Sus scrofa: one gene and its partners. The protein of the gene in region 1 interacts with the protein of each later gene in a biochemical or structural test. Links are inferred from orthologs where the notes say so. Each region holds a gene or a part of one and is shown on either strand. Other genes may lie near its edges.

Region 1 (4,669 bases):
AGCAGAAGCTAAAGCCACCTTAGCTTTGTAATGGGTCCACCTCTGAATGAAGCAAGATAAGGAGTCAGGGAGGGAAGAAGTGTCCCCAGAGAGGAGAGGCAGGGGCAGGTGGGGAGGGATGGAGGATGGGCAGCAGTGAAGCAAAACAGAGTGCTCGGTGCCCACAGCTTCTGTGACCCAACAAGGCAGAATCTGCCAGCAGCAGAGGAAGCAATAGTTCAACCAAGCACAGAAAAGGTTCACAGAAACTGAGGGCACTGTGCTGTTTTCCTTTCTTTTTTCCCCCAAGTGATGGAGTGGGAGAGCAAGAACACCAGAACCAAACCCCCGACCCAGTGACACTCAGGGAATTAACCTCTTTGGGACTGAGAAGGCCATGGACAGCAAGCCCAGAGGGAGATCCAGGTTTACAGTTAAAGAACTTTTATAAATTTTACTGCAATGATGGCAAACAGTTCATTTTTTATTTCACAATAAAACTCTAACCCAATCTTGCTCAAATAATTTGCTGGCTATGCTTTCCTTCCTTCCTCCCTCCCTCCCCCTCTCTCTCCCTCCCCCTCTCTCTGCCTCCCCCCCTTTTCTCCCTCCCTTAGTTTCTTCCTTCCTTCCTTTTTTCTGGCCACAGAATGAAGCAGCTTTATGTGGGATCTCAGTTTCCAGACCAGACCAGGGGCTGAACCCGGGCCACACAGTGAAAGTGCCAAGTCCTAGCCACTTGACCACAGGGAACTCCCCATGCTCTTCTTATAAATGAAAGAAACATAAAAATCTTACTGCATTTAAAAATAATGAAGATAGCTATGAAGTGTTTGAAAACACTGGACATATTAAACTGTATTTGAATGATGACCCCAATACACACTAATACAGATTACAAAAATAAAGAAATACCTGAACATTGAAGTTGAGACAAAATCTGAGCACCTTCAAAGTGGTGGCTTGTCATCTTTAAATTAGGTTTGATACAACGAATAAAGCTTGCTCCCTAGGACAATAAAGGCACTTTTAAAAAGCAATAACAAATAACATTCTTATTTTCCTATTTCAATGAATACTAGCAACTTTCAGAGAATATTACCATTAATTTATGAACCTCTTTTAAGATCATCACTAAGGAAATTAAAACAACTAGCATACAGTTATATGTAAAGCTGTTATACACTACTAATAGAAAAGTACAACAATTTTGGATTTGAGTGCCAAAAAACTTGTGTTATTGTAAAAAGTCTTTTCGCAAGATGACACACATGACTATATTCTACATTGAAAGGTATTTATATGCTGTTTCTGGGATAAGAAAACTGTTCTATGACAAGATGAGTAAATAAAATTATGCTTCTTCAAATTTAGGCCAAAGTGTTAAAAAAAAAAAATTCTACCTTTCTCATCATTCTACTTTAAAAATATAGGTCCCTGAACTTCACCTCTGCACATATTAAAGTTTCGTTTTTGTTTTTTTTTTTTGTCTTTTTTTTTTTTTTTGGCTATTTCTTGGGCCGCTCCCGTGGCATTTGGAGGTTCCCAGGCTAGGGGTCTAATCGGAGCTGTAGCCACCGGCCTACACCAGAGCCACAGCAACACGGGATCCAAGCCGAGTCTGCAACATACACCACAGCTCACAGCAACACTGGATCCTTAACCCACTGAGCAAGGGCAGGGACCAAACCCACAACCTCATGGTTCCTAGTCGGATTCGTAAACCACTGCGCCGCGACGGGAACTCCGTTTTGTTATTTTTAAAAGCTTAACAGTATGCATTTAAAATCAGTGACCACATAATGTAATGCTGAATGAGGCAGAAAGAACACTGATAAGCACACAGTGAAAGTGTTGGGTACTGAAGCTAGTATATTAGACATCCAAGTAGCAGTTCCTCTTCAGAGTTGATATCTTCCAAAACTGGATAGTTATTGCAACAATGATGCTTGCTGCAAACACTTTTAGAATGCTTTTTAGAAATATCATCCTGGAGTTCCCTTCTGGCACAGCAGGTTATGGATCTGGGGTTGTCACGGAAGTGGCTCAGGTCACTGGTGTGGCTAGGGTTCCATCTCTTCCACGTGGGAAGACCCAAGTCTTTCTTTTCTTAAAATCACAAATGTTATCTAACCATTTTACAGAAGCATATTTGGGTAATAAAAATAAGTACCTCCTCACCAAACTTGGTTTTTAAACAACTTTGATCCTTAAGAGATAAATATCTGCAGTGAGAATACTTTAAGAAATGAGGATATTCAAAATAATTTCTTAATGGTTTCAAAGGAAGTCTAACAAGTTAAGCAATGATAGCACAGAGAAAATAAATATTTGGCTTTTCAAAATGACTATCTGAAAAGGAAGAGTACTCAGTTAAACTCTGTGGATTTGTTTTAAAAATAAGCCTTCTCTTGAAATTATGTCTCATTTACATAACCCACATATCAAATTTTTTTCTGTGGTGAATTTTTCTTTAAAAAAACAAAGGGAACTAAAACATCTAGTTTTGTTTTGTTTTTTTAAAGGCTCCTAGGAAATACTGCTTCTATTACAGACCTTTAGGTATTACGTCCATTTTTTCCATATCAACACCATCGTGTTGGAGAATGTTACCACCAGAATAAAAAAATGAATTCTATTCACTATGATTAATCCTAAAAAAATAATTATTTTCAGCTTCCTGAAGATATAGGATAATCCTAATAACACTCAGAGAATCTATATATTTAGAAAATAATTTGCACATACATATCTGACCTTTCTTCAGAACAAACCTAATCAAATGACAAGTATTTTAAAAACTGATTATTTTTTTTTTATCTTTTCTAGGGCAGCACCCACGGCATATGGAGGTTCCCAGTCCAGGGGTCTAATCAGAGCTGTAGTCGCCGGCCTAAGCAGAGCCATAGCGACTTGGGATCTGAGCTGTGTCTGCGACCTACACCACAGCTCACAACAACGCTAGATCCTTAACCCACTGAACAAGGCCAGGGATTGAAACCGCAACCTCATGGTTCCTAGTCGGATTCGTTAACCACAGAGCCACTACGGGAACTGGCCCAAAAACTTTTTTTTAAATGAGGGAATTAGGTTTTAAGTGAATTTCTAATTATTCCAGGTTTACTATGCTTATTACTATGCTAATTATGCCAGGTTTACTATGCTTATTTTTAACTGTTCCAGGTCTACCATGCTTATAATTACTACTAGAGCTTAAGAGGACCATTTAAAATCCGTCTTGTTTTTTAAGTGTACTCACAGTACTTCGAAGTTTATCCAGAAGCAAATTTAACTGTGTCTGTAAAAGAAAGGAAATCATTTTATTATTTCAAAAAGCAAAAGTACACAGTATCATAAGTAAATATTAGTGCTTCAGCAACAGAATAAAATAGCATGCAATAACACTGATACATAGCACATGATAATTTAACAACTTCTGGTACACAAACTTTTTAACAGAGTAACATGAAAAATGCATGGCTAATATATAATACCAAGAACAATAACTTCCTTTATATATAACTCATATAGTTATAAAACTGAAAATCAGCAATAGTAGACAATGTACATGCACACTTGCAGGTAGAGAATGAGGATAAAATATACAGGCAACGAAAGAAGTAAATGAAAATGCTGGTGATGCATTCAATGAGGAAACAATGGAGCAGTATGTGAATGTGTGACTATGTGGCAAGCTGGGTGTAGCTTGTGTCAAACTCCAATGAGAATGAAGAGATGTTTAAAATATACAGAAATGCTATAGATTAGGTTTATTTTATATAACATCAATCTTAAACGAAACCATCCTGCCTACCTTTTAAAGCCCTCTTAAATGTTTTAAAGCTTTTCACAGTTCAATTATTTTTTTAAAGGCAAGGATAATTTTCTCAAGAAAATTCCACTACGGACACTACAAGTAGTTACTATGCTCTCCTTTTTAAAATAATATTAAGTGATTATAATTTCCTTTGGCTTAATTCATTAAAATCATGTGTTTACTTCTCTGTAAATTAGGTAAAAATGTTATATTGATTTTATACTGAGATGCTTATTGTACTACTCACAAATTAAGATGTTACCTCCTCAATTTCAATATAACTATATTTAACAATAATAACAGCTATAATTTACTGAACGCTTTCTACGAGTCAGGCACTTCTCAAAACCTTTCAAGGGCAATAACATTTGAATCCACACAGCTTTAATTAAGGACATATTATTAGTCTCATTTTAGGTGAAAATGTGGAGGCCCAGAGAGGTAAATGACTTGTCAAGATCATGGAGGTATGGGGTGGCAAAACCAAGATTCCAACAAGGGCCTAACAGCAAGGTTCATGTGATACTACAGCACACTTCAGACACAGGTTTCAGTTACCAAAATGGAGTGAATTTGTCACTGGATTTAAAAAAAAAAAATACAGTCACATCCCACTTAACTGGCTGACAGAGTTCTGACAATCTGAACCAGTCTGGACCAGCATACAACTGAAAAGCAAGTGAACGAGCCACTAATTTGGAAAGAAAACAACTGTCACAAAGCTATGCTTCTTAATCCATAGACTAAGGACAGTAGTCTCCCCCAAAATGGGGATAAAGTAAGTCAGAAGAATAGAAGCAGCAAAAATAAATGACAGCATCTGAGAGGAGAGGGAAGAATGTCAATTACCAAAGAACAAGAGTCAAAGACCAT
Region 2 (5,244 bases), on another chromosome or scaffold:
ATTCAGAAAGACTTCATAGGTGAGATAGACTTAGAGGTAGCTAGAAGAATCTCTAAAGTGAGGTTTATTGAAAACTGGGGACAGGTAATTTGAGCTGGGAAAATAATAAAAGTAGAAATACCAGGGCTGGGGAATGGAGATGCTTCTAGATTGGCTGGAGTATAGGATGCATGTGCTGTTGTCACACTCATGTCAGTATGGAAATGTAGACTGAGGCAAAACTGTGGAGTGGATTTTATATTAGTCAGTTTTGCTGGTGTACCAAGCAAATCCCAAATCTCAGTGGCTTACAGAAACAGACATCTGTTTCCCATTTGTGTTCCATGTTGGTAGCTGTGGATCAGCTGCTATGGCTCTTCTATCATGTGTCCTCTCATCTTATTCTTCGAGTCAGACTGAAGGATCTGCTTCCACTTGGGAAACCTGGTTTCCCAAGGCAAAGGACTGGCAGAAACATATGATGATTTTTGAAGCTCTCTCCAGAGACAAGACATATATCTGCTCATATTCTGTTGGCCAAAATAAAGCCTATGGCCAAGCCTGACATCCATGGGCAAAGGATACCCCTTCAATCCAGGAGGCACTAAAAGTCACATTGCCTTGGATAAAGATATATAATCCTCTCTCAGGAAAGAGGCCTAAGTAGTTTCTAACAATAAATAAACCTACTATAGGTGAGAAATTATTCCGCTGACCAACTGTAATATCTTTTAGTAGGCCAGTGACATCATCAGGGTTGCCTTTGGGTATGAGATGAATCTGGAATGGGGGGGGGGTGGAGAAAAGAATAAAACTGCATAGGTCCAGGCAGGAGACAATGACAGGCAGGCTAAAGTCGTGACAACTGGCCCTCTCTTTTGGGACCCAACTCTCCAGTCTTTATTCTGAGACCTACACAAGCAAGTGGAGGGGAAAATCACCTATTAGGGTGAGGAACAATGAAATCACTTTATGTAAGTATCTGGATATTGAGGAAAACAGGACCAGTTCTCAGGTTAGGCTCAGAAAACTATGAGAGAGAAGGTGATTTTATATTCCGACTCTACTCTCTTCCTTGAACCTATCTCCTCATGGACCTCACGATTTCCATCCTTGTTGGCCAAATGCTAGCTCACAGTGCTCTCATTTTGTCCCAGAGAGGCCCAGGTCTCCCCACCTATTGTCTCCCCAAAACCCTCCCTTCAACACCCACTGCCTCTGGCTTGAGCCTTCTGCCTCAACCTACCTTCTTCAAAGAAGCACTTCCCAATCACCAATGTCATCCCCATCATCAGGGCGTGGTTAGTTAACTGGCTAACTGTTCCCGCTAAAAACACTGTTCACTATAATGTTACTTTACTATCTTGAAATATTTAGATTTTGAATGAATGTCTCAGGGAGTTCCCTGGTGGCCTTTCAGGTTAAGGATCTGGCATTATCACTGCTATAACTTAAGACACTGCTATGGTGTGGTTTTGATCCCTGGCCCAGGAACTTCTGCATGCCATAGGACGTGGCCAAAATAATAATAACAATGATAAATGAATGTCTCAGATGGAGAATACCTTCGTATCCAAAAAGCAGTCTCTTACATAAGCCAGTTGAGGGAGATGTTCTTAAGCAAGGAAAACAATTAGGAGTAGGTCTTAAACCCAAGCCATGCAGGCAAGTTCTCAGTGTGTTAGCCCCCATCTCAGCCACTTCCTAACAGAGTATGTGAAGTGTGTCCTATGCTGTTTCCTGGTCTGCACAGATGATACCAAACACCATTCTCTTATCCTAGAAATACATTTTAATGAGAGTAGCACATTCAGAGCCAGAGACCAGTGCCTGAACATTCCAGAACCTATAATGATCATGCTGCGTGCTACAAAACTTCTGATGGTGTCAGTTCCCTTGCTGTAATACTCTCATACCCACTGACAAACTTTCTAAGTCATTGTTTTTGATGGGAATAGAAAGGCAGAGAAAAAGGTGACTCTGGACCAGCACTGGGTTGGTAGATAACAGTATATCTGGCCTCAGCTTGAGATGCAAGATGTCTTTCACCCACCAGAGCATCAGCGCCCTGGATTGAGGCAATTTTTTTTTTTTTTAACTCAGTGATTCTAACATCTGCCTCTTGGGTGAATAAATAACCCAGCACCTTCCTTCCAGTGGCATCAGGTCACACAGTAATCTTCATCACACCATCTTCCACAGGCACAGAGAGGCAGAGGCCTCCTACGGCCACAGCACCCAGATTTTCTGCTCTAAATAAGCCGTGCATCCAGTTGGACCTGAAAATATATTGCCTGCAGCCAGTTGCTCCTGAGCCACTGCTGAAGTCGTGCAACAATTATCAATCCAGCAAGGCTAAAAGACAAGTCACCTGGAGGCCTGGTTACTCTGTGGCTTGGCAGCTCTACCACCACATCGGTGCCACTCTGCCTTGGACTCTGTGGGACTTTTGGCATCAGATTCCCTTCCACGGAAGGAAGAGACAGTCACTGCTTCTACCACAGGTGAGTTAAAAGGCATCTGTTTTTGAATAAATTTCGCCCAGTTTGCATGGAGGGAGGCAAGATCGAGAAAGCTGAGCTGAGCTGAGAGAGGCTGGGATGCTTGGGCTGACTTGGCAGATGACAGGTTTTGTTACAGATTTCTAAAATAATGTTGCTTTAAGAACAGAAAGAAAGCCCAGCCAAGAAACATCAACAGTAAGTTTTCCTTCTTTTTCCCCCCGAAGATATGCTGAAGCCAGGTTTAATTTTATGTCAGGAAAGAATTCCCTCCTGAGACTTTCCTGGCTACGGTTCAGTTGAGGATAATGTTTTCCAGCCATGCTTCCAGAGCCCCTCAAAGACTGAAGGGAAAACGGCAAATAGGCACGAAGCCTCACTTTGAAGCAGCAGGGGGAGCTGTTATGATAAAGAAACTGGGTGGTTTCTTCTTGGTCGGAGGTTATTTCAGAAATTCAGGCAACGTTCTCTACATTTTATTTTCAGCACCGGGGAGTACCTAAAGAATAAAATATTTACAGATGCTAGCAGATTTTATACCTCTGACTTTAATGCAAAGACTTCATGTTATATTTTACATCAAAAGGGAAGAAGTTGCTAGCATCTGCAATGCGTGACTATGCCGTGATTACTTCCATCAGCATGTAATAAAGCATAGCTCATTCGATATATTGCAATTCCAAAGTCCCTGATGGAAGTGGATGTTTAATGTTGGACTTCCAGGGCATAAAAAAGAGCCATTGTTACAACCTCACAAAAATTTACCTACCCTCACCACATAAGGCATCTCAGTTCTGCCCAGTAATTATTTCTGTCCAGTAATTTTGGTTTTCAAATTGCTTGAGCCCATTTAAAAACTGAGAGAGAGAAAGGTAGGGAGGCCAGACTCACTACTTATCTTTAGAAACAGCCTTTCTTCCATTTCTTATTGGGTTGTTTTGAAGTCCTACTTACAAACGCACAATGTGACTTCGCACAGAGTTAAGAATTAGATGACTATGTTATTTGTTGCTATATGTATTATACTATGCTACTTGCTACTATATGTTACTATGAAAATGTTAATGCATTTTAGCTAATTCTCATGGCCACCTACCTCTGATGACTTGGTTCCTTCTAGCATCAACAGAATCCTTATGCATAAAACCTTCTGAGGCTAAAATTTGACAATTATCAGTGTTTCTTGTACACATTTCTGTGATTGTTGCTTATACATTATTGTCGAGGATGCCCCAGGAGTAGAAAAAAATAGCTTCCAAGGAGAATTGGCTAAAGGGAATGCTAAAGTTCAGGGAAGCCGAGTCCCAGAGAAGAAGGAGATAAGGGGGGAATTGGCTGAAACATAGAGGATTCAAGAGAAGAAGCAAATTTCACTGAGGAAGTTGAAAAATCAGAGACCTCTCCAAATAGGTGTATGGCTAATGCAATACCTTAAAGACTAATATTATATCGTCCAAGGAATTCCATTACAGCAGAGTGCCTCAGATTTTCAGAGGGATTATGGGAAAATGATCTGAGAAAGCAAGAAATTGGCCAGAAAATAGACTAATAAAGGGCTGGCAGGAAGAGAGTTGACAAACAAGTGATACGCCAAGCAATATATATGTGTGCAATGGAGGTGGAAGAGTGAGAGAACAGAGAGAGAATTAGACAGAAGTATTTCAAGGATAGCTGTTACTATTTTATAATATCATGAAACATTTTGCGAGAAGAACAAACACATCAGCTATCTCTAAACATGGCTGGCTTATGTAATATATCTCCTGATATGCTAATCAGCAGTTCTCCATGGTTCCAGAAAGTTCCAGATCACCCTGAAACCAGTTAGGCACTCATTCTCAGCTGTGATCTGAGTAGGGACTTCCCTTTGTCTTCACTTTATTTTTATGCTGTGAGCTCCTTTGGGTCAGAACAAGACTGCCTTTCTGCATGTCCTCCATGGGGACCTTTGACCATGTTCTGATCCCCAGAAGGTCCACTAGGGAATATAGTGAATGGTGTTACTTGTCAGATTCAGAGATAAATCAGTAATAGAAGGAAGGTTTCTTTGATAGTGGTTTGGGGTTGAATTTGTTTCTTTCTGTGCAAGGTGTCTACAAATTTCAGTGGGTTTCTACATGTACCTAAATTAGAAAGCATTGCTAACTCAGTAAGAAATGTGAAGCCTTTGTATTTATAAATCATTCTTCCCAGCTGTTCTATAATCAAGTATTAATTCTCTACTGGGAGGTAGATCTCTTCAGGCATCTGAGGCAGCTCCAAAATTTCCCAGTTGTTTCCAAATATTAAGCCTCAGTGCAGTCAGTCATTAAACATGAGTTTATCTTTACCTTCTGCCCTCCTCCACTTTCCCAGTGCATGTATGAACTGGCACCCTGCCTAACTGCAGGCCTATCTCAGGAGCACTACCACCTTGTATTCCCCTCTAAGATTACTCCCCCTGGGTGTTGGGCTGACGGGAAAGACAGAGAATGAAGAGTATTGTGCCAACAGGCCACTGTGTAACATCTCTCTCTCGGCGAGTGCTGATTCTCTGGCCACAGCCTGGCTGGGGGTGCCCTCTGTGTGGCAGGCCTCCAGATTCTGGCTTTCTCTGGGGACTAGAGATGTGAGTTCTTTGCGCCCCAATCTTTGAGAAGTTGGAAATCCAGCTCAACCCTTTGGAGCTCTTGTCACTGGCCATATCCTCTATAGCCTTCTGCAGCTGAGGTGCAGTGGGAAACTGTCTTGGAACTGGGGTGAAACAACCTCAACTATGTTCTAA
Region 3 (5,114 bases), on another chromosome or scaffold:
TCATATAATTTGCCAATTCTAACACTTAGAATTCAAAAAGATATAAGGTGATTATGTTCTACTGATATTATTATAGTGACTGTATTTTTTCAAAGTTCTTATCAGTTAAATAACCTAATTATAGGTGAAATATCCTTATGTCCAGGATTTGCTTTAAAAACTCCAGGGGAAACAGTAAATGTGCTGAGGTGGTAATAAACCAAGATTAGTAAAATAAATAAATAAATAAATAATAAATAAACCAAGATTAGCAAAACAGTGGTTCCTTTAACTGTTCCATTCTCCTTTCATGTATGTATGAAAATTACCATAATAAAAGTTAATAAAACCAAAGTAGACAAATAAAGATTAGTAATAAAAACTCAGTACGACTTCCTTCAATAGAAACATATTACACACAGTAGCTGACTAACTTAACGGAAGTTTTTCGGTTAAAAACTTATGAACTTTTGGAGTTCCCTGGTGGCTCAAGAGGTTAAGAACCCATCACTGCCACTGCTGTGGTTCAGGCTTGATCCCTGGCATAGAAGCATCCGGGAGAGGCCAAAGAGGGGGGATGAACTTTTAAATTTATTTCCAAACTTTAGTCCTAGAGGAAACTGAACATCAGGAAGGAAAAAATAAGTCTAATATTCTAATAGTTTCCAATTATTCACACTTCAGCTCAAAAAAAAGGCTATCAGCTGGTTTACAAACCAAAAAATTCTTATCAACAATCTTTCTGGGAGGCAGAAACAAAAGAATCAGTCTGTTGATGTGCACTCTTACAGTCTTCCCTATCTCCAAAACTCTTCACAGCTGAATAGCAGGCTATTCTGCCCAGGTGTCACCACTTATATTTAATTTTTATATTGTTTTAAAAGTTGGTTTCTAAAAAGCCATGGTCTTGGCCCATATATATTAGAGGGGAGAGAATCTTTATCTTCTCGTAGGAGTTTGTATGGGGCAAAATAAACTTTAAAAAGCCAAGAGTGATACTGAGTAGTATCCAAATTCCAAAAGGATGCAATTCAATAAACATCACATGTAAGATAATTCCTCCAAAGCAGTAAAAAAGGAGCATGGTTGCAATCTTTCATAAATATATATCATTAAAAAGGGTGAAACTACACAACCTAGAATAGATTTACAAGGATATCCTGCTGAATAGCATTGAGAACTATGTCTAGATACTCATGTTGCAACAGAAGAAAGAGTGGGGGAAAAACTGTAATTGCAATGTATACATGTAAGGATAACCTGACCCCTTTGCTGTACAGTGGGGAAAAAAAAAAAAATTAAAAAAAAAAAAAGGGTGAAACTTAGAATTCCAAAATATCTGTTATTTTGTTAAGGAAAAGGCATTTACAGTTTAATTCTACACAAACGGCTGCAGCCATTATTGTCAACAGGAGTGTGCAATTTAAAAATGTGATGACTAAAAAATAAAAATAGGATATTCTTTGACGTTACAAAAAAAAAAACCCCAAAGCTAGTAAGTTATTTCTAATGTATCCTTTTATTTATTTATTTATTTATTTATTTTGGTCTTTTTAGGGCCGCACCAGCGACATATGGAGATTGCCAGACTAGCAGTCCAATCCGAGCTGTAGCTGCTGGCCTACACCACAGTCACAGCAAGGTCAGATCCGAGCCGCGTCTGCAACCTACACCACAGCTCACAGCAACGCTGATCCTTAACCCACTGAGAGAGGCCAGGGATCGAACCCGCACCCTCACGGTTCCTACTTGGATTCGCCAACCACTAAACCATGACGGTAACTCCTAAGTGGATCCTTGATAAGCACGAAAAGAAAGACTGGCCTCAGCCCTCTTCTATGCGGGAAATAGCACTTTAAGGTTAATTAGCTCACTTCTTGGATTAACATGTTACTCAAATGATCTCTCTAAATGCTTTTGGAGTTGAGCTCCAAAATTACAATTAGCAATTGTTCCTGCATCTTGTAAATATTCCACAATTAGCGGAATGCAGAGTTGAAAAGTTACGATTTTCCCAAGCCTGACTTTTAACAGCAATTCCTAACTACTTTCCGAAACTTAAAAACCTAGCGTACGTAGAAAGTCAAACGTCACAGCGTTCCCAAATTATCAATCAGGTAATAAATGTTTATCAGAACATGCACGCACATACTAATCTCTTAATAAAGATTCCCCGAAACGACGAACGCCTGCCGGGACTTGTACACAACCTGCGGAGCTCCGGGGTGCCGGAGGGAGGGAGAGTTGTGAAATCAGGAAAAGTTGCCTAAGCAAAGACAAACGTGGCTCTCCTCCCAAGATTTTAAAACATCCCTTCGAGAACTCGGCGTAGAGCCACTTATAAACAAAAGAAAAGTGTTTGCTAATTCAGCGGCCCAGGTGAAGTCGGTGATCCAACCAAAACAGCTAACCCAGCCCGCGGCCCCGAGACGTAGGCGGCGCACCGAGTCCCCGCCTCCTAATCTGCCGGCGACTCAAACCAAAACACTTGGGTTTCACCCTTCACGGGCAAGCCCGAGCGTCCCACCCGAGGCGACCTAGATGTTTTCCCAAGTTTATCTACGTCGACAGCACACACGCTGCCCTCAAAACACTCACCCCGCAGCTGAGCCTCGGGCGAGGCAGGGTCCTCTCCGGGGGGCCCACCGCGTCACTCGCCCCCAGCCAAAGGGTCCACGCCCCACACAGGTCCCCCAAATTGCGAAGGCCTAGCCCAGGGCCTCCCCGCCTTGTGAGGCGGCCACCGGTCGCTTTTTCCAACTCCACTGCTAACCGAAGTGGCCCACACCCCCGTCACAATCGCAGCCCGGGAAGGAAGGCACTGTCACTAGGCAGCTTCGTCACCAGGGCGACCATTCCCGAGATCAGCCAGGCCCCTAGTCTCTACTGAGGGGGGGAGTCTCTCGAACCCCCAAAGAGCTCCAGCGGGGGTCCGCCCCGCGCCAGGCGGTGGGGCAGGCAGGGGAAAGAGCTTACCGAGTGGGCAGCTCCTGGGCAGATAAGGGTGTTAAAAAGACTTCTGAGCCTGAGCCGCCATCAGCCCCGATCCTCTTCCGCCACCAAAGCCTCCTTCTACCGACCGGCTACACCTCCTCCCCGGGCCTAAAGCCGGAGCACGTCACTTCCGCCCAGGGACACGCCCCTTCCGCCGCCGCCGCCGCAGCCACGCGAGGTCAGCTGGAACACCAACCAGGTTGTTCTGGACGTTAAATCACCTTGGCAGTTAGTTGCCTGTGGCCGGGCCACGGGCAATTCCTTACCGGCTTTCACCGTCGGTTCGGCTGTTACTCCTCTTCCGCCCTGCCGGTTTTGCTCAGAGACCTGGCCGTAAACAAACAGGGTCCTTTGGGCTTTTTAATTATTACTTTGACCGGAAATTCAAGGAATTTACCAGTTAAGTGGAAAGGATAGTGTTTAAACTGGCACCAGGTCATTGTCTGGATCTTTAAAAATCTGTCCAAGCGAATCTCTTTTGTGGATCAGAAAGTGAAGAACCAAAGAAGCGAAAGAGCAACCGCGTGGCTGGGGCTGCAATCCATCACTCTCTTCAAACTCCTGGCCCAGCCCAGTGCTTGCTTAACAATGAGATTTTATTCCTTGTGAAACCTCGGTTTCCCTTAGGAGTTTGCAATTCCAGTGCTTTATGATTCTATTTCCTCTTGCTCGTTCTACCCGCATTTCTTCGAGTTAACTGCTTTTGTTATCCGTTATTTTGCGTGCATGAATTTATTTAGTCCTGTATCCTTTATTCAGTTATAATTTCTAAAGTCATTTGTTATGACTTCCTAGAGTAGGGGTTCAGTTTAAATCATAACTCCGCGGGGGCAAGTGTGGTCTCTTACAATCATGTACTTGTGTTGCCGTCAAACCCTGATAAAATTTGCAACATCACAGGTGAAGAAAGGATAATAAATTAGATCAGGTCAAATGTTGAAGCATCTTCTAAATTCAAAACGTACAAAAATCTTCTTCAATATACTTTACTTCCAACATATTTAATATTACAATGCCTTTGATAATAAGGGTTCTCAATATCTGCTAACTGATTTGTTTCCTATATATTGAAATATTTGAATTTGGTATTGTTCTGTTTATCATACTTGATAGATTTCAGAAGAACCTTTATAGAACATTTAGTACCAATTTCCTTAGATTACAGATAGTGTGATAATATCAGTAATCACCTGGCTTTACTGGTAGCAACCTTCCAGTGGTTGTCTGTGTCTCTTAAGCAATGTAAATACGGCAGTGAACCCTTATAAGCAGAATTTTTCAGAAGTGCTACTCTTCCCAGCAACTACAGCCAACTAATCTATGACAATGGAGGCAAGAATATACAATGGAGAAAAGACAGCCTGTTCAATAAGTGGTGCTGGGAAAACTGGACAGCCACGTGGAAAAGAATGAAATTAGAGCACTCCCTAACATCATACACAAAAAGAAACTCCAAATGGATTAAAGACCTAGATATAAGACCAGACGCTATAAAACTCTTAGAGGAAAACATAGGCCAAACACTCTCGAAATAAACGACAGCAACATCTTCTCAGATCCACCTCTTAGAGCAATGACAGTAAAAACAAAAATAAACAAATGGGACCTAATTAAACTTAAAAGTTTCTGCACAGCAAAGGAAACCCTAAACAAAATAAAAAGACAACCCACAGAATGGGAGAAAATCTTTGCAAGTGAATCAGCTGACAAGGGATTAATCTCCAAAATTTATAAACACCTTCTGCAGCTCCATACCAAAAAAACAATCACATTAAAAAATGGGCAGAAGATCTAAACAGATAGTTCTCCAGAGAAGACATATGGATGGCCAAAAAACACATGAAAAGATATTCAATATCACTCATCATTAGAGAAACGCAAATCAAAACCACTATGAGGTGCCACTTTACACCAGCCAGAATGGCCATCATCAAAAAGTCTACAGGAGTTCCCTTCGTGGCGCAGTGGTTAACGAATCCGACTAGGAACCATGAGGTTGCGGGTTCGGTCCCTGCCCTTGCTCAGTGGGTTAACGATCCAGCGTTGCCGTGAGCTGTGGTGTAGGTTGCAGACGCGGTGCGGACCCTGCGTTGCTGTGGCTCTGGCGTAGGGAGTGGCTGCAGCTCCGATTCAACCCCTAG

Evidence for each region.
Region 2: the proteins of MYO6 (region 1) and DAB2 form a complex in vitro, tested with the Homo sapiens proteins (7 studies listed by BioGRID). The link is inferred for Sus scrofa from reciprocal best matches to the Homo sapiens genes MYO6 and DAB2.
Region 3: the proteins of MYO6 (region 1) and TAX1BP1 form a complex in vitro, tested with the Homo sapiens proteins (5 studies listed by BioGRID, with this or other methods). The link is inferred for Sus scrofa from reciprocal best matches to the Homo sapiens genes MYO6 and TAX1BP1.

What each region holds. Positions count from the first base shown.
Region 1 is NC_010443.5:90,028,915-90,033,583, forward strand, and holds part of MYO6 (unconventional myosin-VI), read right to left. Parts: intron 3,278-4,669; coding exon 3,239-3,277; intron 989-3,238; coding exon 895-988; intron 1-894. UniProt on the Homo sapiens protein: Myosins are actin-based motor molecules with ATPase activity. Unconventional myosins serve in intracellular movements. Myosin 6 is a reverse-direction motor protein that moves towards the minus-end of actin filaments.
Region 2 is NC_010458.4:24,773,825-24,779,068, reverse strand, and holds the start of DAB2 (disabled homolog 2), read left to right. Parts: upstream 1-2,131; 5' UTR 2,132-2,483; intron 2,484-5,244. UniProt on the Homo sapiens protein: Adapter protein that functions as a clathrin-associated sorting protein (CLASP) required for clathrin-mediated endocytosis of selected cargo proteins.
Region 3 is NC_010460.4:44,907,153-44,912,266, forward strand, and holds the start of TAX1BP1 (tax1-binding protein 1), read right to left. Parts: upstream 3,114-5,114; 5' UTR 2,956-3,113; intron 1-2,955.